Elephas maximus indicus: one gene and its partners. The protein of the gene in region 1 purifies or fractionates together with the protein of each later gene. This does not show direct contact. Links are inferred from orthologs where the notes say so. Each region holds a gene or a part of one and is shown on either strand. Other genes may lie near its edges.

Region 1 (7,540 bases):
ATTTTGCTTTACCTTCACCCACTGGGGCTCCCCCAACACCTACCCCCCACTGAGCATCTGTACCTAGTTCTTTCACAAGGATCTTGAATCTGGGTCCTGCAGCCTAGACTTCCCACTCCATCCTGCTCAAGCTCTACATTCCAGAGCCTCAGCCACCTCTACCCTTGGAGGTCTTTATCCTGATGGTCCCCAAGCCCTTCAGTCTCAGCCCTCCTCCCCACCCACTCCCTCCAGATCTTTCACTCAGGACTTTTTTCCTTAGTGAATATTTGGTATTTACTACGTGCCAGACACTGTTCTTACCATCGCACACGCATTTCATTAACTTGTTTAATCCTCACAACAACCCTGTGAGACAGATATCATCATTATCGGCCCCATTTTACAGATGACAAAACTGAAGTGTACGGGACATAAGTAATTTAACTACAAAGTCAAGACATGGACTGAATTCTTCATACCTTAACTCTGCCGATGCCTCTTCTATTAACTTTCACTCCCAATGGGGCCCTGACACCCTAAGGAGACTGTCAGGCAATCATACTGTTTCTTTTGCCCTGAGACCTTTCTCTCCCCAGTATCCCCGACCCCAGGCAGGTAAGGAGCCAGCCAAACGCGTACCTGCGGGTGCTCCTGGGGCCCCGGGAAGCCAGAGAAGGGACCATGGCCCGGTGGGACGGCCATGGTGGGCTCAGAGGGCCGCAGGGGAGCGAGGCCTGGAGCGGGAGCCCGGCCGGGGGGCGCCTTCTCGCATCCTGCACCTCGGCTGCCACCGCCGCTGAGACCTGGGAGAAGGCAAGGAGGCAGGGGAACAACATGGAACAAGAGAATATGTGGGATAGTGGCAGGCAGGAAAGAGGTGGGCACAGACAGAAGGCAGGGACTCAAACGGAGGAGGAAAAGGGTACCACAGAACACAGGTGGCGATGAAGAGAAGAGACAGAAAGCAGTAGCAGACAGGTGGAAAGGGGTTACACAACAGAAGCCCTCAACAAATGACCAAGTAAGTGAATGACGTGGAACAAAGACAAGGGCATGCAAAAGGAACGGGGAGGAGCGATGCAAGAGCAGGGAGTGGTGGTGGGGGTGTATAGGCCACAACAGGGAAGGAGAACAAAAAGACATGGATAATGGAGGGGAGGAAAAGAGAAAAAAAAAAAAGAAACTAAAGACAGTATGGGGAGTAGGGTTTGTTCGTTCCATTTCTACTTGGGCCCTCCCCAGGGCCCCCTCCGCAAAATCTTGCCCCCTTATAATCTTCCCCAACCATCAGGATCTCATCCCATTATCACAGCAAGGTCCCTTCACTACAAGATCTACCGTTCCCAGTAGCTCCCCCAATCCAGAGAACTCTGAAGTCCACCCAAACCACACCAGAGTCCTCTGAGTTCCCCTAAATCACAGTAGTGTCCTCTGCAGGTCCCTCAAATCCACATCAGGGTCCTATGGAGACCTCCCAACCACACCAAGATTATCTGAGAAACTGTATCACAAAAGTCCTATCTCTGTGGCAGCCCGCCAGGGCACATCTTTCCCAGCAGACCCTCAGTACTTCATGCTGAGATCTGTTCCCCTTGTAGGCCTTCCCACATCAGGAAACACTCCTCCAGATAGTCTCCCTACACCGTATCCCAGTTCCTCCCACCACATCAGAACTCTTCCCCACATTGCTGCAAAGTCCCCCTCCCAATCAAGGCCCGCTCTCCTGAGGGGAACAAGGAGGAGGTGTCTCTTCCAGTGGCTTACGATGATCTTCCTTCTCTCCTCTATAATGAATCCTCCCTCTACCCAATGTTCCCATTGGAGCCCCATCTCCTGTCACCTCTTTCTATACTGGGGTCATCCCACAGCGATGCCCCTTCTTAGGAGACTCCCAAAGCTCAATTCCCCAAATACTGCAGGGTGTTCCAGGGGGTCCGACAAACCAAAGTCCCTCTCCCCAAGTCTAACCATGTCAGGTGTCCTCCTATCCCAGGCCTTGCCACTCCATGAACACACCCCGTCTCTTGAAGCTTCCCTCCCTAAAGGTTCCCCCTCCAAAACAACTTCTTTCCCGGGGCCCTCCAACCCCTACCCGCGTCAGGGCTGGTGCGCGGCCCACGGGGGGCTGGAGCGCGGTGGGGCCCCCAGTGAGGCGGGCGGACGGCCAGCATGGCGGCGGTGGCGGCAGTGAGGAGGCGGCCGCCTGTCCCTGGCCTGGGCGGCCCGGCAGGCCCCGCGGCGGGGAGGGCAAGCGGGACAGGCGGCCCGGTGGGTGACAACAGCAGCCGCCGCCAGGGGCGGGGAGAGGAGGGGACGAGGGTCAGCTCGGGGCACGCGGGGGAAGGGAAAGCAGGTGGATGGGGGGAAGGGCGGGTTAACCCTCGCAAGGCCGACCCCACCCCGGGCGGCCACCCGCCCCTGGGGACCCTGGCGTCCCGCCCCCCACCCTAGAGGCCCGCCCCGCCTGCAGAGACCCAGCGGGCGGGGCAAGACTGAGTTTGGCAGTCCGCACCCTGCCATGGCAACAACCGTACCATTGGCCACCGCTGCTACGAGCTCAACCAATCACAGCCCAGGGCAGTTGTTGCTAGGCGACGACGATGCGGCCGGCGGAGCTGAGCCCAAACAAAGGGCGGGAGCGGGGCCCAGCCACCCCTTCCCGACCTCCCTTCCAAGACTGCTCCCTCGGTTCAGCCCCTTCCAGGAATCCGACTATGAATAGCCAGGCTCGGCTGGCACACCAGCCCGATTCCCCCTCCCTTCCTCTCCTCCTCCCGCGTCCCTGTGCTCAGTCTCGAGGCGACGCGGGCAGGGCGGGTCCCGCCCTTCCCCCTCCCCGCCAGCTCGTGCCGCCCAGCCAGTCACTGCGTCGTTACCTGAGGGCGCGGGCAAGGGGACTCAAGTTGCTCGGGAAGCCCGAGCTCAGACCTGCCCACTGGCTGAAGGTACCCGTCGGACGCGGCGAGCCAGGGCCCCGATTACCCAGTAATGCAACCAGCAAAATGGCGACCACAACAAACCGGCCCCCCTCCAGACTCCGCCCCCACCCCCCCATCCGCTCCCCCTCACGTGACCAGCGCAGCCCTCCGCGCCTGCGCCCAGTGGGCACTACCCGCAGACATGCGCAGTGAGCCACCGACCCCACCTAACGCCGAATTCCGGGTTACGGCTGCGCACCAGGGCTCCCTGAGAGGGCAGCTAGAAATGGAGCATGCGCTGTGTGATCAGATGAGCATGCCCCCGCCCCCAACGAGGTGACCATGGGCGCATGCGCCAAGTTGTCTACAGCGGCAGCCACAGAGCGACCAGCAGCCAACTGAGGTGACGGATGAGTCTTTTTAATAGAAAAACACACGTGCAACAGCAACAACACTATCTCACAATGCAGACAGCACCGGGCTTCAGTTCTTCACTTTGGGGGGCGGCCTGTGAGAGGGAGAGAGAAAACGAGGGGTCATAGCCTGCCCCCGGAGCCCTGAGCTGCACGATCCGGTGGGTGACTGGGCCCTGCTCACCTGTACACACCCACGACCACAGCGTGGTCTCTTTCGTATGGCTCGAGGGTCAGCTGCTCCTGGGGCTTCATGTTCTCCTGCTGCATCTTCTTCACTTCAGAAGCAAACACGGCCTCTGCAGAGGCTGTGGAGTCAATGCAGTTGGCCTACAGGAGGAGACGGAATCGAGTCCGCCGCAGGACTGCGGGCTGGTTTCCCCTTTTTTGTGCTCTTTCAACCACAGGGACTTGTTTCCGATGGAAACGGGGTAAAATCAGGCCCCAAACAAAACCCCAGTATCATTTCTGACTGTTCTGCAGCAAAAAGATCACCGCCACTGAAAACCCCATGGAGTGCGTTCTACTCTGAAACACGTGGAGTCACCACGAGTCGGAGTCAATGGCAACCGGTCTGAATTTTGTGGTGTATGGCAGGGTTTTGGAAACGTGGGGAAAATTTCCGTTATATAACAAATTTAGGAAACCCCGGCAGCACAGTGGTTAAGAGCTACAGCTGCTAACCAAAAGGTTGGTGGTTCAAATCCACCAGGCACTCCTTGGAAACTTTATGGGGCAGTTCTACTCTGTCCTACAGGGTTGCTATGTAGTTTGTTTGAATTTGGACCCAAGGCTTTAAACAAAACCCTGTTTACCTAAAAGCCAGCTTTAAGTTTTATACCCCAGCTTTTTTCCTTCTTCCATTAAAAAAAGAGTAATAATACAGCTTTGAGAACAACACAAATACAGGAAAAGGGTAACAAATGGTGAGTCTAAGTAAAGGGTCCACAGCAGAGTTCTCTGTATTTCAGAATAAAAAGTTTTAAAAAATGCACCTAACATTTAGATTTGCCTAGTGTTTATTCAACGCCAGGCTCTGTCTGTACACTTCACAGATACTGATACATTTAATCCTGACGTCAGCCCTAAAACAGATAAGACTAACATCTCTGTTCTACACATGAACAAACAGAGGCACACAGAGGTGAATGACTTGCTCCAAGTCACACAGCATGGTGGGATTCAAACTCAGCAACCATGCCCTTGACCACTATACTCTATTACCTCTTAAAATACAAAGCTTTTAGTTTTACGGACTTTTTTTTATACTACGTGTTATTTCATGGGGAGTGGGAAGCCAGCATAGGAACAGAGTTTGGGAATGGACTGACTGGATTAGAGGGGAGGCAGGCCTCTTTGTTTTGACTGGCTGCTTGTCAGACACGGAAGACTCCTTGGGATGCTCCCACTCATCTTAGACTTCCACAAGACTCTCACCTTAATAGAAATCACAAAGTGTCCTCCGTTACGCAGGAAGGTGTGGGCATTCAGAGCCACAATCCGGGTCTGGTCAGGCTGGGCCACGTCAGCAAAGATCACATCCACCATTGCTAGGGAGAGAGGAATGGCAGTTATTAAATGTTGGGCCCACAGGGAGATCTTCCCATCCCCCCCTGGGGCCTATGCCCCATTGCCAGCAGGTACCTGGCAATTTCCCTGCCTCCAGTCTCACTCCCCTGCCACTGACTCCCCCTCCCCCCGCCCTAGTGCCCCCAAGGTGGGTCCAAAACCCACGGTCACATCACTTATTCTCTACTCTTGTAAACCATGGTTGCCACCTACTCTGTGACCAGCCCCAGGCTGGGCGTGGGGGGCACAGAGACGAGTTAGACCCTGGCACTGCCCTTGAAACGCTCCTGGGTCTGGGGCAGTAGGGGAGGTGGACACACAAGTCATCAAAAAGGCAAGTGAAGGTGAACACTGACAGGCAAGGGCGTCTGCAGCATTGTCAATGAAAAGTTGCAGGACAGGGGCATGGTATGGGTGTGTGGAAAAGGAAAAGAAAGAAGAACAAGGGAATGAAAAAGTAATGTTTTTAAACCAGTGTGATTTAAAACAAACAACAGCAACAGAAAAAACAACACTTAAAAAACTGAAAAGGTGGTGTAATGAAAACTGACTCTGAAGAATCAGGAAAAGCACGTACCCAATTGTTCTCATCAATGACCTCTTTTGAATTTTTTAAACGAAGTCAATATTCACACCAGGCCCCTCCGGGTCAGGTCCATGCCCAGCTGGTGTTTTATGGTTATGACCTCACCAGACAAGGAGGCCCCTGGAGGGCGCTTTTAGTCACAGGTGAGGGGCAGTATAAAAGCACCATGTTTATACACAAAGAGGGGCGGTATAAAGGTACCATGTTTTGGAAGGAGGTGCGAAGCACAAGGAGGGGCAGCTCAGAGAGAGGAGAGGCCAGACCCTGAAGCTGGGCCGCCACCTCTGCAATCTCACCCAGTTCCCTCACCCCTTGTCATTCCTGCGGACTCAAGAGGCCTGTCCGTCCACTCCATCTGAATCAGGGCTCAGATGATCTCTCCCAGAAAACTTGGCTCTTGAAGAGCCTGTCCTACCCGACCTGGGCCACTGCCAGAGCCCTCACCAATAAGCATGCGGTATTTGTGCGGGTGCCGAGCGTCCTCAATGACAGGGATTATGTTGGTCCTCTTCTTGGCCAGGTTGATGAGGTCACGTCCAGAACGGTGGGAAAACTCAACTGCATAGACCAGACCATCCTAGGACAAATCAAGTGATAACAAACGATACTAATTCTCATCTACGGAACTCCTACTTGGGACCCACGCGCTGCATGCAGCATCTCTTCAAATCCCCCAAAATCAAACCCTACCATTAAATGACTACTGTTATCGTGCCCATTTTATAGACAAGTAAACTGAGGTCCAGAGGCATGAAGTCAATGCTCAAGGGCTATTCAGCAAGTGGCCAAGCTCGACATTACACTGCCTGCAACCATGTGACTGAGCAGAGGCCATGAAGTGAGATGTACAGGGGCCTCTAGATGGAGCCTGTACCCACACACTGCAATGCAGCCCAATAGCGTCAGAATTCTTGTTCTATCAAGAGAAACTGGAGAAGCAGATTGGGGGGAGCATGAATTTTTAAAGAGACCAATCAATTCATCTGATTATCTACACTTCCAGCTCTGGGCCCCTTTTATTCTGGTTGCCCTGACTCCCACACCCCTTCCTTCAAGGCTAAGAACCCAGGAGTGTGGCTGAATGAGGCTTTGGTGGCCATCTAATCCAAGCAGCCATTTCTACCCACAGGCGCTGTCAGAGGGCAGGGCCTGGCTCCATGCACAGTGCGGGGAAGCGCCCATGCCTGACTCCACAATAGTGCCAACAGGAGGCAGCCTTTCCCTCTGCCCGCCTCACCACTTACCTGGCCTACGATGTCAGAGACGTGGGAGACAGTGGTGCCTGAGGCAGCTCCAAGGTAAAGCACCTTGGCCCCCGGCTTGATGTGGATCTGGTCCACACCACCCAGGATCGCTGCTGCCAGCTTTGAGCGGAAGGGGTTCCAGGCGCGGTACTCAATTTTGTCGTCTCCTTCCTGGACCAGGAGAGACGGGGATGGAAATCAGTGCTGGGCTCTTCCCTGAGGCCCCACGCCCCTTACCCTGGGGCCTTGAAAGCGACTGGGCGTTTAATGACTATGCAAGTGATGAATGTGGGTATGCAGCAGTGGCCATGACAGATGCAACTGTGGAGTTAACAACTCAGGGAGATGGGGTGGCAAGAGACGATAAACACAGAGATACCGAGATTGTCTCAGGTTGGTAAGGCCTGCAAAACCACTCAGCAAGCGCTTACTGTGCTGCGTGCCAGCCCCTGATCTAGGCACTGGGAATACAACAGTGAACACGACAAAGATCCCTGCTCTCAAAGAGTAAGTATACAAGGAGCTAACTAAATTAAAAAAAAAAACACCTGGCACAGTAAGATGGTGACAGGTGAAAAGGAGAGAGGACAAAGCCGGGAAGAAGACATGAAGTATAGGAAGTAGGGCAAGGGAAGGGGAAAACGAGAAAGGGGAGCCAAAGGTGCATTGTGCAGAAGGTGTCTGGGTCAGCCCTAAAGGCGATGAGGAGCCGGTCAGGCTATCTGGGGAAAAGCATTCCAGGGAGAGGGGAGGCAGGCGGGAAGCACTGAGGCAGGAGAGCGCCTGGCCATAAAGGAAATGGCAAGGGACACTAGGATCCGTCAGAAA
Region 2 (7,956 bases), on another chromosome or scaffold:
ACCTCAGACACATCTGGCATCTGGCCTGAGTTGCTGCAGCAAGTGCCCCCAAGGCACAGCCCCCGAAACCCTCAGGGAGGCTCGGACGGTTGGCCTCGTGAGCTAGGCTCCAGGCTGGAACAGCTCCAGGCCCAGCTAAACAGGTGAGTGCCCTGAGGGCTTAGGCTGGGGGAGCTGCAGAGGGCGGGCCCAGCAGCTAGCTGGGCACGGGTGCCCCCTCCTGGTGGCTCAGTGACATCATCAGGTACCCAGTGGTTTTTAGCATGGCGGGCCCCATTTAGTGGCAGGTCTCCCCATCCGTATGTTACTAAGGACAATTCTTTGGGTGCCTTCCCTTGGAAAACCCTAGACTGTGCCAAGGAAGGCTTCTTGGGGGGTGGGGCCGCAATCATGTGCAGAAACATAAATTCCATGGGCCCTTGGAAAAGGGCATGGCCTGTGGATGGTGGGAATTTGGAGCAGGATGGTCTTGAGTTCAAATTCTGGCTCTGCAGCGCACCAGCTAGAGTATGGGCAAGTTACTTAACCACTTGGAGCCTCAGTTTGCTCTTTTGTGAAATGGGGATAATCAGAATAGCCATGTCAAAATGTCACTATGAGGACTGAACAATGTGTGCATGGGGCCTGTTCATTGTTGTTACCAGAGTCAGGGACATGCTAAGCGGAGTTTGGGCAAAGGCTGCAGATCCCAGTGGGAAATGGCTTCGAGTAGGCCCCAAGCTGCCATAACCCCAAACTGAGAGCTGGCCTCAAGCCCTGAACTGCTCTCCCCCACCCTGACCCTGACCCTGACCCTGACTGCGGGGCTCCGTCTGGCAGGCTAGAGTTCCGCATGGCCTCAGACCTCAGTCACATCCTGAAGCTCCTTCAGCAGCCTCTGCCACAGGGCCACCCCAGCTATATCCTGGGAGCCCCTGCCTCCAAGGACCTGGCCTTGTTTCCTGTGACCTCAGCAACTCCAAGACCAGGTCCCAGGCTGGCCCAGGGCCATCTGCCTCCTGCACAGGTGAGCAGGTGAGGGACCCCCAGGGGCTTTCCTGGAGGTAGCTGCTTGCTTTCCCACACCCCCAACTCGTTCCAATGTGGCTTCAGGCTCAGGGCCTCTGTGCTCCTAGAGCAGCTGTGGCTTCTGTTGTCCCCCTTTATGGCTTGAACCATGACAGGGCAGCCTGGACGGGGCAGCGGCAAAGTCCAGAAAGTGACCACAGACCCCCAGCTGGGGCAAAGGTAACAGGACCCTGTGCTGTGAAGGAGCAGGCACACCTCCAGCCAGCCCCCACCCCTGAAGTTGGGGTGGCTTAACCCATAGCCTGGCCTGGGAGGCTCTTCACACTGCATGCCTCTTTCTTGCCCCTCCCAGACCCCAGGCTGTGGTGACTTGGACCAATGTAGGCTGACGCACAGGAATGCCTCCTCCAGGATGCATCACCTGGTCGTGGCAATGGACAACCCCCTGACACCATCCTTGGAACAGGAGCAGCCCCAGGGGCTCCTGTCACCCTTGGCCTCACCTCTGTGGGACACAGACGGACAGGGACTTGTCTGTGGTCCCCGCTTCCCCTCCCTCCCTGAACACCTTGGCTCTGTCCCCAAGCAGCTGGAGTTCCAGAGATATGGCTCAGATCCTGGATTTGCAGGGTGTTAAAGCTACTGAATCCCAAGATAAAAGACACCATGAGAGGACTGAAGGTGGGTGAGAGTTGAGGATCCTCAGGGAGGCAGACAGCCTCCAAAATGGGCCTCTGAAAATCATTCCCCTAGAGTAGGTTCATACTGGTAACCCAGGTGACCCAAAAGGGCACGGTGAAGAGACTCTGGACTTTTCCCACCCTCCCCCAGGGCTCTGTTTAGACAGCAAGCCTGGTGAAGGATTGGGAGGGGGAGTGACTCTGATGTGCAGGTAACTTACAGGAGTGAGGGGTCAGTGAGGTAAAGAGAAGTTTCTGATCTGTGTGAGAGTCTTGCTCTGGGCTCGGCAGGATTATCCCTCAACTCAGAAACAGCCCCTGTACGTGGCCCAGCAACCACGGCCCAGGATCGATCAGGCCTCCTGCCGAGAGCCTCTGACCCAGCTGGAGGTGAAGGTGCCCTCTGTGGTAGACATGCCAATTCACAGAGCTCCAGCCCTCAGCTGCTTCACCCCTAACAGTTCTGTGATGACCTTTGGGCCCCTTCTGGGCAGTGGAGTGCCACACAGTTAATAAATTCGGCACATTTCCTGTTTAGCCAGGTATGTAAACTTACCTGAGGGTCATCAGGTCCTTGACTGTGCCATGACTCCAACATCTGTGGTTTTCCCCAAGCCCTTCTCACAAAGAGCTGGGGGTTCATCCTCCAAATCTACCATGTTGGGGACCTGAAGGTGGCTCCGCTGAGCCCAGGAGCCCTTGGAGCATAGCCAGGCTAGGGCGAAGGGAAGCAGAGAGGTGCTGGCTTGGTGGCCATCTGGAATCATGACAACAGCCAACACTCCCGTGGCACTCACCCCGTGCTGGGCACCACGCTGACTGCTCTGAAGATATTCATTCATCTAATTCTCCCAACAACCTTATGGGGTCAGTATAATTATTCCCATTTTAGAGATGTGGAATCAGTAATCAGAAACTTACCTGAGTATGAGGGGGACTTCTGGGTGCTGATGTTGTTCTGTTTCTTGATCTGGGTGCTGGTTACATGAATGTGTGTTCATGTCGTTAAAAAATATGTACACTTCTATGTGTAAATTATACTTCAATTAAAAAATAAAAAGAATCTTGCCCAACACAGTAGGAAAAGGAGGACATAACTTCAACCCAAGGAGCAGCAGCCCTGGTGGCACAGTAGTTAAGTGCTCAGCTGCTAATTGAAAAGTTGGCAGTTTGAACCAACCCATCTGCTCCACGGGAGAAAGACTTGGTGATCTGCTCTTATAAAGATTAACAACAATAACAAACCTGTTGCTGTCGAGTTGATTCCAACTCATAGCCACCCTGCAGGACAGAGTACAACTGCCTCATAGGGTTTCCAAGGCTGTAATCTTTACCGAAGAAGACTGCCACATTTTTCTCCTGAAGAGCAGCTAGTGAGTTCAAACTACTGACCTTTCAGGGGCCGAGCACTTTAACCACTGTGCCACCAGGCTGTCCTACTATGTCACATGGGGTCGTTATGAGTAGAAAATCAACTTGATGGCACCTAAATTTTTTAACAAAACAATTTCAACCCAGATAGTCTGGCCTGACAGCCTGTGCAGTTAGCTGCAAAGGGCTATTGTTCAAAAAGGTCCTCATCACTGGTCTTCAGTTATTTTGCACAAATATTCTCTAAAGGAAATCTGACATCTTTTGAAGTTGACATCTGAATTGTTTCATTGGTAAGTTTAAATTGTCGCAAAGGATGTAATTTCCATTGGGTTGTAAATATTGACACAACTGTACTGTTTTGTCCCTCATTTATATTGATCCATTTGCATCCAAATAGCTTAGTGACTTGAGAGCCACCATGGGCCATTTTAAAGACACAAGAACAAACCTTCTTCAACATCATTCCTTTTTCTCTTCAAACTCGTAATTCCATTCTAGCCACCATCCCCATTTTATGCACCATGTAATTTATTTTCATGCTTCAAAGTCTATTATTGAGCATCCTATCATATCTGCTTGCAACACAAATATGTATATAAACTGAAATTTTAAAATTAAATTTTGTAAACTTACTAAGGCTTTATTAGTAGTACCGAGTTGTTTAAAACAACAAATATATATTCACATTTTTATAAAAATTAACATTTTATTGGAAATGCACCTCTTAAAGAGATTGCATGGGGATTTTTTCCCCCAATTAGTTAGTTCATTTATCTGTGGATGAATATCATTTTTTAAGAGGATAAGACAAAGTTCAGCAACAGTTTTGTTTGTATTTTTCTTTTTTTTATTAAACTTAAGCACAGAGAAAACTTGCTCACACAAATAAGATGGGACTGGAAGGGATTTATTAAAACGTCACTTAATTCTTTCAATTCTTTCCAAGTTGTCTGTTAAAAATCACATCGACCATTAAAAATTATATTTAATGATATCATCTAACAATCCACTACAATCCTTCAATTTTGTTGAAAGCAAAGAATTGGAAACCATGTAAAGTATAAAAAGTTGTTACCCAGATTCGAGACCTGCATTTTCTCCATTTCAAACTCACAGCGCAGATAAATTTAAGGCTTGATTGACATACGCCTTGGGATGCGCTGCGGGGAAGGGATGGGCATAGACAGAAGCTTAGAGCCAAGCTGGTCACGTTGCTGCTAATTGAGGACCAACCGGAGAATTCAATTCGGAGATTTTTCTGGAATTGCAGGAAAGCGCAGGCAGGCCTCACTGAACCCGGCGTGGTCCTAACTAAGCCATCGGTCGGTCTGCAAAAGGCGTGCCGGAGGCCTTTCCTTTAGACACTGGGAAAACGCTGCCCGGGTTCAAAGGGGCGTTGGGACGAGTGGGAAGGGAGGGTGACTCCTGTTTGGCGCGGGCCAAGCTGCCTGGCCGCAAGGCCCCCCCATTATTGCAGAATTTTAATTTTACTCGACAGCTTGGGGAGGCCGCTCAGAATAGAAGCAGCAGAGGGGAGGTCAGAGCAGGTCACGCAAGAGGTTTCATTCTCAGAGACTTGACCTAGAACTTGGAGACCTGCTGCCCGGCACGTTGAACTCTATATCACCCACGCCCCCATTCACCAGCAGTGCACCGTTATCTCTCGGACTGACATTTGTACCAGCCAATGGCCTTCGGGTCTGCGAAAGCCCCGCCCCATGATTGGGAGGGGCGAGAAATTGGAGTGACGTAGTGAGGAGGTGTCAAAACCTCCGGGCACAATAACCAATCAGGCGAAGGAACTGTTCGAAAGGACGTGTCAGGCAGCCAACGGCCGGCGACGCTGCGCGGGTCGCGTGGCTTCCGTTCCGAGTGGGCGGGGCGGTGTCCCAAACGGAAGGTGGTTTTTGTCGGTGCCGAAGCTGGTTTGAAAGTGGGGGTCGGGCCAGGCCGCCGTTGTCTGTCGCCGCGGCCCCGCTTCCGGGCTAGGCTGTCCCTGCCTGCCCCGCCTCCCTTCAGACCCCTCGGTCCCAGGCTCGGCTCCCCGCCCAACTCGCGCCCCGCCCGCTGCCTCCGACTGCGGACCCGGCCCGCACTGCGGCCCAGCCGCCGCCACCATGTCCCTGCACGGCAAACGGAAGGAGATCTACAAGTATGAAGCGCCCTGGACGGTCTACGCCATGAACTGGAGCGTGCGGCCCGACAAGCGCTTTCGCCTGGCGCTGGGCAGCTTCGTGGAGGAGTACAACAACAAGGTGGGCCGGGCAGGGGCTCGGAGCCCAGCTGGCGGGGAGCGGGCCCCGGGAGCGCCCTTTCCGGGCCGGAGCCCAGACCCCAGAGCCCTCCTGCGGACTTGCCTTGGCGTCCTGGAGCGGTTCCTGTGTGTCTTGCCCGGTGCTGAGGGTTTTGCACTCGTTGTCTCATTTAATCCTGGCAGATTCCCGTGTAGTCGGGAGTGTAGTTACCTCCGTTTTACTGATGGGGAAACTGAAGCACAATATCGTGACTTGCTGAGCTAGGCAGCTATTTCATGGCCGAAACAGATCTGAAACCCGAGCTTCCACGCCAAGGCTACACCGTTTATCTTTTTCAACCGCCTCCCCTCCTGCCGCATTGCTTCAGTTTGGGGGGCGGGGGTGGGAGGAATTAATGGCTGTGAGGGAAAATGCAGGCATTAGAGTTGGTAGCCCTTCACTTCTGGCACAGACTTCCCCCTCCCCCCACTCCCATCCCCAGATACTATTCATGGTTCCCCTGGCCCTTCTGCCAGGAGTGCCATCGCTATTGCTGCCTGATAGCCATTCCTTCCAAAGCGATGTCTTTTTGAAAGTCTTGGCCCATGGCCATGATCCCGTCATTGTTTCCTAAATAGAGAAGGATGACACTTTGCCTTATCTTTCCTTGGCTCCTTTCCTGCTAATACAGATGTGTAACCTTGAGTAGTAAGTCTTTCTGGGCATCCATCAATTTGAGAGTCCTTCATAGAAGCGTTGGTAGTAGGGGAAGCTTTTACGCTGGCAGTGCAGCATACGTTTATTTTCTGAAGTTGTTGAATAAGGAATTTTCTTTCCTTTATTCTTTAAGCTCTTCCTTTTATTGTATCAGAGTAAAAGTTGTGATTGATAGTGATCAGAGCAACTGAAAGCCTTGGCTGTTGATATTTAGAGCCAGAGCTCCCGCTTAAACCATGAACACCAGAAAACTAAAATTATGTGGAGAGTGACAGGCATGGCGCAGAGGGAAAAAGTCACGCTGTCTAGGGTCAGGTCCTGTCTGGTCCCTTGATTAGCTGTGGGGCATTGCACAGGGCAGTTGTATTTCTGACCCACAGTTTGTTGTAGGAAGGAGGTTTCTTTTTACATGTGATGGTCTTGTAGAAAGCATTTGAAATGTTTATATTTCTTTTGTGTGTAGTTTTTCAGGAGCACATCTGTTTCTTTAGAGTAGGTCGTAACTACTTGGGAGTCCCCTTTGAGAAAACGTTGAAAACAATGGACTTTGCTCAGATATTGCACGTGAACAATTTACAAATCTCAAGGAGTACAAACTGATCTCGAAGCCCACCCACTGGCCACAGAAAACGGAGAATCGGGAGCAAGACATAGCTTTATTTCCTTTTCTCTGGTGATTTTTATTCCTTATGGAGCATAGTGGATGGCAGAGCTGGAAAAGGAATTTAAAGCCCTGGTGTGGAAACCAGATTATTAAAATTAAGACCACTAGAACTATTGTTAAGGGTACATGTTAAAAAAAAAAAGAGGTAAAATATGACTTCCAAAGGGCATATGAGTCTTTTCACACAAATTGATAATTTTTTTCTTGCAAGTATTTCCAGGGTTAATTTGGGTAAGAAGTCATAGTCTCATTTCTAAGAGAGGGAAAACTGAGTCACAGTTAGGTTACCAAAGAATCTGTGGAATAATTGGTGTTAAATCTCGGTTTTGGGAACTCTGCCCCCACATTCGGCCTTCCATTCAGCAACCGTATGGAGCTCCTTCTTTGTGTTGGGCACACAAGCAATGTTGCCTTAGTAGTAAAATGCAAACTAATAATCCCAGTAGTAACAGAATAAGCAGTTGACTGTGTTTTAACTCTGAGTCCCTGAGTGGGACAAACAATGCATTCAGCTGCTATTAGTGGTTGGAGTCTGGCAACGTGGGGTCGTCATGAATCAGAGCCGACTCGCTAGTAACTGGTTTGGTTTTTTGGCTTTATATTTGAACTCATTTATGTGATGTAGGCATATTATGGAAACCCTGGTGGTGTAGTGGTTAAGTGCTACAGCTGCTAACCCAAGGGTCGGCAGTTCAAATCTGCCAGGTGCTCTTTGGAAACTCTACGGGGCAGTTCTACTCTGTCCTATAGGGTCACTAGGAGTCGGAATTGACTTGACGGCAGTGGGTTTGGTTTTTTTGGGTTTTTCTAGGCAAATTATTTTTGTGTCTCCATCTATCTGTAGTTCAGGGTTCTTAGCTTTTGTGTGTGTGTGTTGTGTATGTGTGTGCCATGGACACCTTTGACGATCTAAAGTCTATAGCCTGCTTCTCAGAATGATGTTTTCAAATGCGTAAACATATATAGGATTACAAAGGAAGCCAATTATATTGAACTATAGTTATCAAAACTTTTGAAAAGTGGTGATAAAGTAATATGTGCTTTTAAATTAACTCATTAAATTGTATCATCTAGTGTAATTGTTATTGTAATTTTGAAATGGTTATGAAGGTAAACAACTTTTCATAATATATTTCACAAATATAATGTGATATGAAAAAATCAATGATTTCTATTGGTGACAAAGTCACGGATATTGCTAATGCTGCTGTGGGTGACTGCCTCCATTTGTAATTAAAAGAAATGCTTAATTTCAGCTAGAGATTGATGAAAATATAAT
Region 3 (7,480 bases), on another chromosome or scaffold:
GGACGGGGACACTGAAAAATTATTTCAATAGCTAAATATCAGGGGAGGAAAAAAAAAGCACCCTTAACTTCGAAACTAGTCCTATGTCTTCCTTATTCCATTATACACTCAGTTATCCTGCAAGGTGAACCAAACGGTATTGCTAATATTCCTCCCAAATCTGATATCTGAATGTATACGTAGCTTTCTTCTGATCACTTCCTAACCCTGAACGGACACAATGAAGTATTTATGGCAAACAGTTATCCAAAACTGCAACATATTCTCTTCCATAAAATTAAAACTGCATTACCTGATATCTTCTGATTTCAGAGGCTCTAGTTATAAACATTTATCACTCTTTTACAGTCTTATTTTCTGGTGTACACACACACAGAGACCATAAGGTGATGTTTGGGGCCAAAGACCATTTTTTGTAGGTTTCAGTGTATTTTTTTAAATCTAAATTTGCTTTTTAAAGTCTTTTCCTTCCCCTAGAGCTGTTCATGCTGATGCCACCCCACAATTAGAGACCCTGGTAGCATCAAATCAAAGCTCAGAACATGATAAATCTCAACACAAGACACAGTAGCCCTTTTCATTACTACCAAAACAGCTTGATAGGGTATGTTTTAAATTGTGGGCAGATAATGGTGGCACCAGAGGATATAATTTAAGGGGCTATCCGTGCTGTTTCCATTTAGCTAAGCCATGATATCCCCTTTAAGCTGTATGGCCAACTTCTTATTCCCTATACCCAGAAGACAGTCTTACCACTTTGTTTCCTCCCTCTTTGGTTTACAAAGTTAACAGTCTCCAAGGTCTGGTCTTATTAGAAAACCTCTTCATAAAGCTATTCTCACCATTTTTTAAATTTCTCATGTCAATCCACAAAATTCTCTTTAGCTATTAGTGACTCTGGACACATATTTAAATTCTATCCTCAGGGAGAACTCGGATGCTGCAATTATAATTGACAAAATGTTTCTAAATTCATTTCACAATTTTTTTAAACTGGTCTGAAAATTTTTCTCTTAGCCTGTTAGGACTAAATTTGTGAAGCAGAATCTAATACTTGCCAAGTATTTTCTAGTTTCTACCAATCTAGGCTGCAGATTTCTCTCCCTAAAGTCCTGACACTGTAATAATGCCAAGTTTGAACCTAGAATTTGCTGCCTACTACAAAAGAACTTGTTAGTGAATTTGGAAAAGAAACCTGATACAATTTAGGTTCCCAGTGGTTAACTGGTTACGATAACAGAAATTCCTTAAAATATATTTAGCAATGAATGACACAGGGGAACAAATTAGAGGGGGGGGGGAAGAAAATATACTATGAATTAGGATGTGTTAGGTCTGCATTTTCAAAAATTTGTTATGTGAAAGGCAGTTTTGCCCACAGTACTTTTCTGTGTGTGTGTGGTAAAATTATATGTAACCAAACATCTGGCATTTCAACATTTTTTTACTTGTATAGTTCAGTGACATTATGTTCATCATGTTGTACAACTATCATCACTGTTTTCAAACTAGCATTTCTTTTGATAAAGGAACTTGCCAGTAATTTGGGGTTGGTGTCTTCTGCTAGCTTCAATTCAGTTCCTTCATATTCAGTTCCTCTCATACTTTGTTACCAAATTAATCTTTCTAGAACACAAGAGTACTCATCTACTCAAAAAAAACAACAGGTTTCCATTGTCAGAGAAATAAATTGAAAACAATTAGCCTGATATTCAGTGACACCATTACCTGGTTGTGACCTACCTTCTTAACCCTATCTTGAATTATTCCCCTACACTCTGGACTACCTAAACCAGGGGTTGGCAGACTATATATAGCCTGCAGATCAAATCCAGGCCGTTGTCAGTTTCTGTATGGTCTATGAGCTAAGAGTGGTTTTTAAATTTTTAAATGGTTAAAATAAATGAAAAGAATATCTTGTAACGTGAAAATTATAATTTACATTTTAGCATCCTTCATTTTATTGGAACACAGTCACACTCATTTGTTTACATACTGTCTATGGTTAATTTTGTATTACAATAGCAGAGATGAGACCTTGTGGCAGAGATAGTATGGAATTATTTGGCCCATTACAGAAAAATTTGCTGGCCCCTGACCTAGACATACTTCTGTTTCTACCTCTTAACCTATCAAGATTCCTGCCTGAAATGTGCTGTTGTTGTTGTTGTTGCCATCTAGTCGATTGTGACTCATGGCAATCCCACGTGTGCAGAGTAGAGCTGCTCCATAGAAGTCTCAAGGCTGTAACCTTTTGGAAGCAGATAGCCAGGCCTATCTTCCAAGGTGCCTCCTGGTGGGTTCAAACCGCCAACCTTTCTGCTAGTAGTTGACTGTTTAACCGTTTGCAACAGCCAGGGACTCCCTGGAACGTATAAAGTCACCCATTCCTGCTGTCACCTCCATGAGACTGTCTAAGTAGAATTTCAAAAAAATTAAAAAACATAACTCTTCCCCAAATATAAGTTAACATGAGCCAAATATTTAACTCATTGACAGACCCAGTAAGATGATAAAGTTTGTTCCAGGAGCATTTAAAGAACTAGGGACTTATAGGTATAAAAAGAAACGGAGCTAGATCAAGGGGCTAGGTTAAACAAGGCTGGTGAGTGTCCTAAAGAGCAATAAAACCTAACTTCAGGGTTACGTTTTCTATTAGAAATCTACAAGTAACTTCACAATGTCTGAGCTTGAATCGTACAACAGCAAAGTCAAACACAAGTACCTTCACCTAGATTATTACATACTCTTTGGGCAGGCAGGTTAAATAATGTCCTGGTATGAACTAAGAGGCCATCCCTCCACCCTTTGCCTTATTTCCAAATTTTGAGCAAATTTTTCTTAACAATGTCTGTCCTAATCCTTTCAGCCAAAGTCAACCTCTCCTTGTTTTGTTTCCATTACTTTTTGTACTTCCATTATATATCGGTTGCCCTTAAGGAGCCCTGGTGGCACAGTGGTTAAACACTTGGCTGCTAACCTAAAGGTTAGTGGTTTGAGCCCACCAGCCCGGGAGAAAGATTTACAGCCTTGGAAACCTTATGGGGTAGTTCTACTCTCTCTCATAGGGTCACTATGAGTTGGAATAGACCCCATGGCACATAATAGTTACCCTTGTGTCCTATTTGACTCATGGTGACCTCAAGGTAGTCAGAGAACTGTTTTCAATGGCTGATTTTTCAGAAGTTCATCACCAGGTCTTTCTTCCCAGGAGCCTGAGTGGACTCCAACCAACAACCTTTCCAGTTAACAGTCAAGAGCCTTAATCCTTTCCACCATCCAAGTACTCCATTTCCATAATAGTACTTAATAATCTTGATTTGTGCATTTTGTCTTCCCCAACAACCATTAGAACGACTTAGAATCATTATTTAAGATCTGGGATTTAACTTTTTAAATGAGATTTGAGGATAGGGTCCAACTTCCATAGTTCCAATACCTGCTTTGCACAATGTAGACACTTTATACCTTATTCATAGATATGAAGCCCCTAAACACTTTCCAAGCGTTGTATGGCACTTTCCTTAAACTTCCCTTGTGTTCTAACCTTACTCCACTGTTAAGTGACCTCTTAGCATGTACTGTTTTAATAGTTTTATCCTCCTTTAGAGCCTGACCCATTGTCTTTTCGAAAGCGGCGGCTCAAGAAATGCCGACTAAAACACTGATGGAGGTTCGTTCCCTCCCCCCCGCCCAATTTATATACCTGGAAACACCGAAACTGTCCGTCTCTCCAGTCCCAGAAACCTAGACTCTCCCCTCAAATATCCATCCTGTTTCACCTGCAGCACTCCTATCTCAAAAAAAAACAAAAAAAAAACTTGTCATCCAATCGATTCCAACTGATAGTGACCCTATAGGACAAAGTAGAACTGCCCCCCAGTTTTCGAAAGAGCCGCTGGTGGATCCCAACCAACGACCTTTTGGTTAGCAGCCAATCTCTTAACCACTGCGACACCAGGGCTCCTCAAAGTAGGAGTAAATCCCGCCCCAAATGGCAAGCAGTCCCCCTCACCCAAAGACCTCAAATTTCCCTTGCCCCCGGACATGGCCTCCTCCCTTCAAAAAATGGCGAGGTGAACTCAGGCCCTCAATTCTTAAGTTAGCCCTTTTCGGCAAGTACCACCACCCAGCAGCACAGGCTTTTCATATCCTTCTTTGCCGTGGAATATTTCCTCAGTCGCTGGTTATTTCCTCAAGAGTGACCAATTCCCCATTTCACTTCTCACGCCTCCCGATTCTTTGCGTCCCTCCACCTCAGCCTTTCTCCCACGGCCACTGAAGCCGTTTCTCAGGGAAATCGCCAAAGGCGCGTGGCCAGGCGGTTAGTCCGCCAACGGTTTTTTACGGTGAGGTGAGCGCGCGGGAGGAGAGGCGGGAACGACTGCCACCGGGGTACAGGATGAAAGGCGGGGCTGGCGCCGGGAAGGAACGTGGAGGAGCTGGGAGGCTCCGCCTTTTCCGTAGATATCTCTAGAAAGCCGCGCCGGAGCCCGAAAACAAGGACTGCGCACGCGCGGCGGCAGGGCCCGGGTATTTTGCTGCGTCACCAGCCGCCGCCCGGCCTCACCACCCCTCGCTTGCACGCACGCACGTTCATTCTCTGTCCTCGCGCCCCTTTTCCTACACTTTCCTCCTCTCTCCGACCGGAGGAGCCGCTCTCTCCGCGCGTTGCATTCTGGGGACCCAGGCCGAGCCCGCTGCGACCGCCGCCGCCGTCGTCTGAAGGAAGCGAAAGGAGGCCACGACCGGGGAGAAAATCCCGGAGTCGCCACCCTAGAGGAGTCAATTCCCCAGCAGCTGCCGCCAGAGAGGCCCGCCCACCTGTCCCCTGCCCCGTTCACAATGTGAGTGCGACACCCCGCCAAGCGAAGGTCGGCTCAGAGGGAGGCCGAGGCCACGCCGGTGGCTGCCGGGAAGCTGGCCCCTACTCCCCCCCCCCTTCGCTCCTCTGCTTGCATGCTTCCCTCTGTGGTGGCAGTCGTTCCTGCCTGGGGATGGGAGGTCTAGTGTCCTTGTTCCGGTTACTGTTTGCGGGTGGAGGATATTTTTCTTCCACATGGCCGCTTTTCTCCCCTCTAAACCTCCCTCAGCGCCCCGGTGCTGGAAAATTTCAGTTTCCCTCCCTTTCGCGCTCTGGGTTACCCGTAACTCTGCGTAATTTAGCTTTAGGCCTTAATCTGTGAGCTTTTGGCCATGCGGACGCTCTGGAGGCGTGGACTATCGTGGGTTGCCACTTTGCTTCTTGGGCAGTCTGGTTCTACTGCTCCGTGATGCCAGGACCAGGCCCTGGGCCAAATGCACCTGTGGTGGGTGCGACCAGAACACTGATGGTGCTCGCTGGTGGAGCACCATGCGGCCCTCCGCCGTGAGCGACTGGTACTGCTAGGCAACTAGAGACCACGCCGTCACCACGACTTACTTCCCTCTCGGGCGTCTTGATTTGTTGAGTATGGGTCCTTCGGGCCTTCTCCTAACTCCAGTCTCTTGAAAGGAATGAAAGTTGCCAAAACTCAGCCGTGTTCCTGGCAGCGAGGAGTTAAACTATTAAGCAGGTAGTTTTGCACGTGTCGAACCGAAAGATATTTGTGGGCATTTTCCATGTTTCACATTAAAACTTCAGAAGAAGTATCATTATGGTACCACAATTTAAGTAAAGATTAAATAGGTATGTAATTGCTTTCTTGTTTAAATTTTTGTTTATATGCAGGTGACTACAGATTTTTTATGTATCTTAGTTTTCTTATAACAAAAGCTTGGTGATTTTAACCAAGTAAGAATTCTTGGTACTGCCACTTCTAGACCATACATTGTTAGGAAAAAGTGTACCTTTTCAGATGTAAGAACTGCCGATTTTGTAGAGTTTTTGTTACTAACTGACCCAAAAAGTGATATATGGAGAACAAAAAACTGGAACCATTTTTATTCCTATGAAAAAATGACACTTTGTGGCCCAAAATTTTTTTTTTAATTTATAGATTATTTTTTAAAATAAGGGTACGTATTGAACACAAAATAACGTTGAATTTTTAAGTTTTACTCAGTAACACAGTGATCTTGATGGTGAGTATATTGGGCCAGAAATCTAAATGTGTAAATGAGGGATATGCTATAGCCAATTGATGACTGAGAACAAGCCTCAATAATAAAGCATGTATTTTCTTGTGAGAATATATTAGAATTTTGGAGAATTTTTTTTCTCCCACAGAAGTGGCATCTAATGGAAGATTTGAATCTATATAAAACAGGTTTTACTTTTCCCTTTGAAATCTTCGTTCTAAATAATGTGTCAGTCTGGAAGATAGAGTAGGATTAATACTAAATTTGATGTGGAGTTCTTGTCCATCCTAATTGAATTCAGGGAAGTATGTATTAAACTTCCCAAAATGTTTGTTTATAAATCGAGAACTGTAAGCTTTATATTTTTTGTTGAAATCTTCCCATTACTCCCCTTAAGTTTCCCCTAGTCAGTAGTTGTTACTGAAGAGGTTAAGCCTTGTATACTTTGGGAATTCTTAGTAGAGGAGAAAATTGTCAGATAAAAGTACCAATTTTTTTTTTTAACAATGTAGCCAAGTAAAAATCTTTTCATGAAGAAATAACGTGTTTAAAATAAAACACTTTTTGGAGATCGCATAATGTGGTTTAATAAGTAATGAAACTTAAGGCTATGTAGATATGTAAAAACTCAGATGAAAAGTGTAGCAAACTTGCAAAAAAGCAGTGGATAGGCTATACTTACAAGACTCTACCTTTTCTTTGGTTCCTTTGAGGGAACCAGGTAAATTTCATCCTCTTTAAATTGTTTGTTCAATATGTGCCATCTTGTAAGTTCTTCTGGAGATCTTGTTGAACTTAAGTGAGCTATTTGAGTTGGAAGAGACCTTTGATTGGGTCATCTAGTCCTAGGAACAGTCTGGCTGATAAGGGTTCATTTTGTCGATGCCTGTAATAAACTATTTTTTAATGTGGAGAGACGTTTATGCTGGATGTCTTAAGGATTTTGGGTGTTTTTCCTGTATTTGAAAGCTTTTTATTAGTGATTTCCCAGTTAAGATTCTTTAAGCCTTAATCACGTTATAAAAGTTTTGTCAAGTGACTTAGAAAGGAGCGCTGGATCTATCCTACTTAAAGGAGAGTGGGAATTTAGCACTTCCCACCTGCATTTGGGAAACCCTGGTGGCATAATGGTTACAAGTTTGGCTGCTAACCAAAAGGGCAGCAGTTCGAATCCACCAGGCACTCCTTGGGAACCCTATGGAACAGTTCTGCTTTGTCCTAAAGTGTCTCTGTGAGTCAGAACCAACTCTGGCGGTGGGTTTGGTTTGGTTCTCCCGCCTTTAATACTTACCCAAACCTAATCTTGCAGGGTGTGGGTAGGTTGTCTAGAAACAACAGTGACTGTTTTGAACGTTGGTTAAAATCTTAACTTTGCCATTACATAGCTTTCATGGAATTGATCAGTCTTCAGCTTCCAAAA

Evidence for each region. The genes of interacting proteins can lie anywhere in the genome.
Region 2: the proteins of DYRK1B (region 1) and DCAF7 purify together in Homo sapiens (affinity purification with mass spectrometry; 10 studies listed by BioGRID and IntAct, counting the BioPlex papers as one, with this or other methods). This does not show direct contact. The link is inferred for Elephas maximus indicus from reciprocal best matches to the Homo sapiens genes DYRK1B and DCAF7.
Region 3: the proteins of DYRK1B (region 1) and PTGES3 purify together in Homo sapiens (affinity purification with mass spectrometry; 3 studies listed by BioGRID and IntAct, with this or other methods). This does not show direct contact. The link is inferred for Elephas maximus indicus from reciprocal best matches to the Homo sapiens genes DYRK1B and PTGES3.

What each region holds. Positions count from the first base shown.
Region 1 is NC_064829.1:111,688,299-111,695,838, reverse strand, and holds the start of DYRK1B (dual specificity tyrosine-phosphorylation-regulated kinase 1B), read right to left. Parts: upstream 3,006-7,540; 5' UTR 2,154-3,005; coding exon 2,075-2,153; intron 786-2,074; coding exon 622-785; intron 1-621. Other genes in the region: FBL (rRNA 2'-O-methyltransferase fibrillarin), read right to left, coding at 3,384-3,408, 3,498-3,643, 4,751-4,863, 5,913-6,045, 6,713-6,883.
Region 2 is NC_064837.1:54,787,018-54,794,973, forward strand, and holds the start of DCAF7 (DDB1- and CUL4-associated factor 7), read left to right. Parts: upstream 1-4,950; 5' UTR 4,951-5,179; coding exon 5,180-5,317; intron 5,318-7,956. Other genes in the region: KCNH6 (potassium voltage-gated channel subfamily H member 6), read left to right, coding at 1-143, 820-1,006, 1,361-1,645. UniProt on the Homo sapiens protein: Involved in craniofacial development. Acts upstream of the EDN1 pathway and is required for formation of the upper jaw equivalent, the palatoquadrate. The activity required for EDN1 pathway function differs between the first and second arches.
Region 3 is NC_064822.1:116,594,311-116,601,790, reverse strand, and holds the start of PTGES3 (prostaglandin E synthase 3), read left to right. Parts: upstream 1-4,474; 5' UTR 4,475-4,845; coding exon 4,846-4,847; intron 4,848-7,480. UniProt on the Homo sapiens protein: Cytosolic prostaglandin synthase that catalyzes the oxidoreduction of prostaglandin endoperoxide H2 (PGH2) to prostaglandin E2 (PGE2).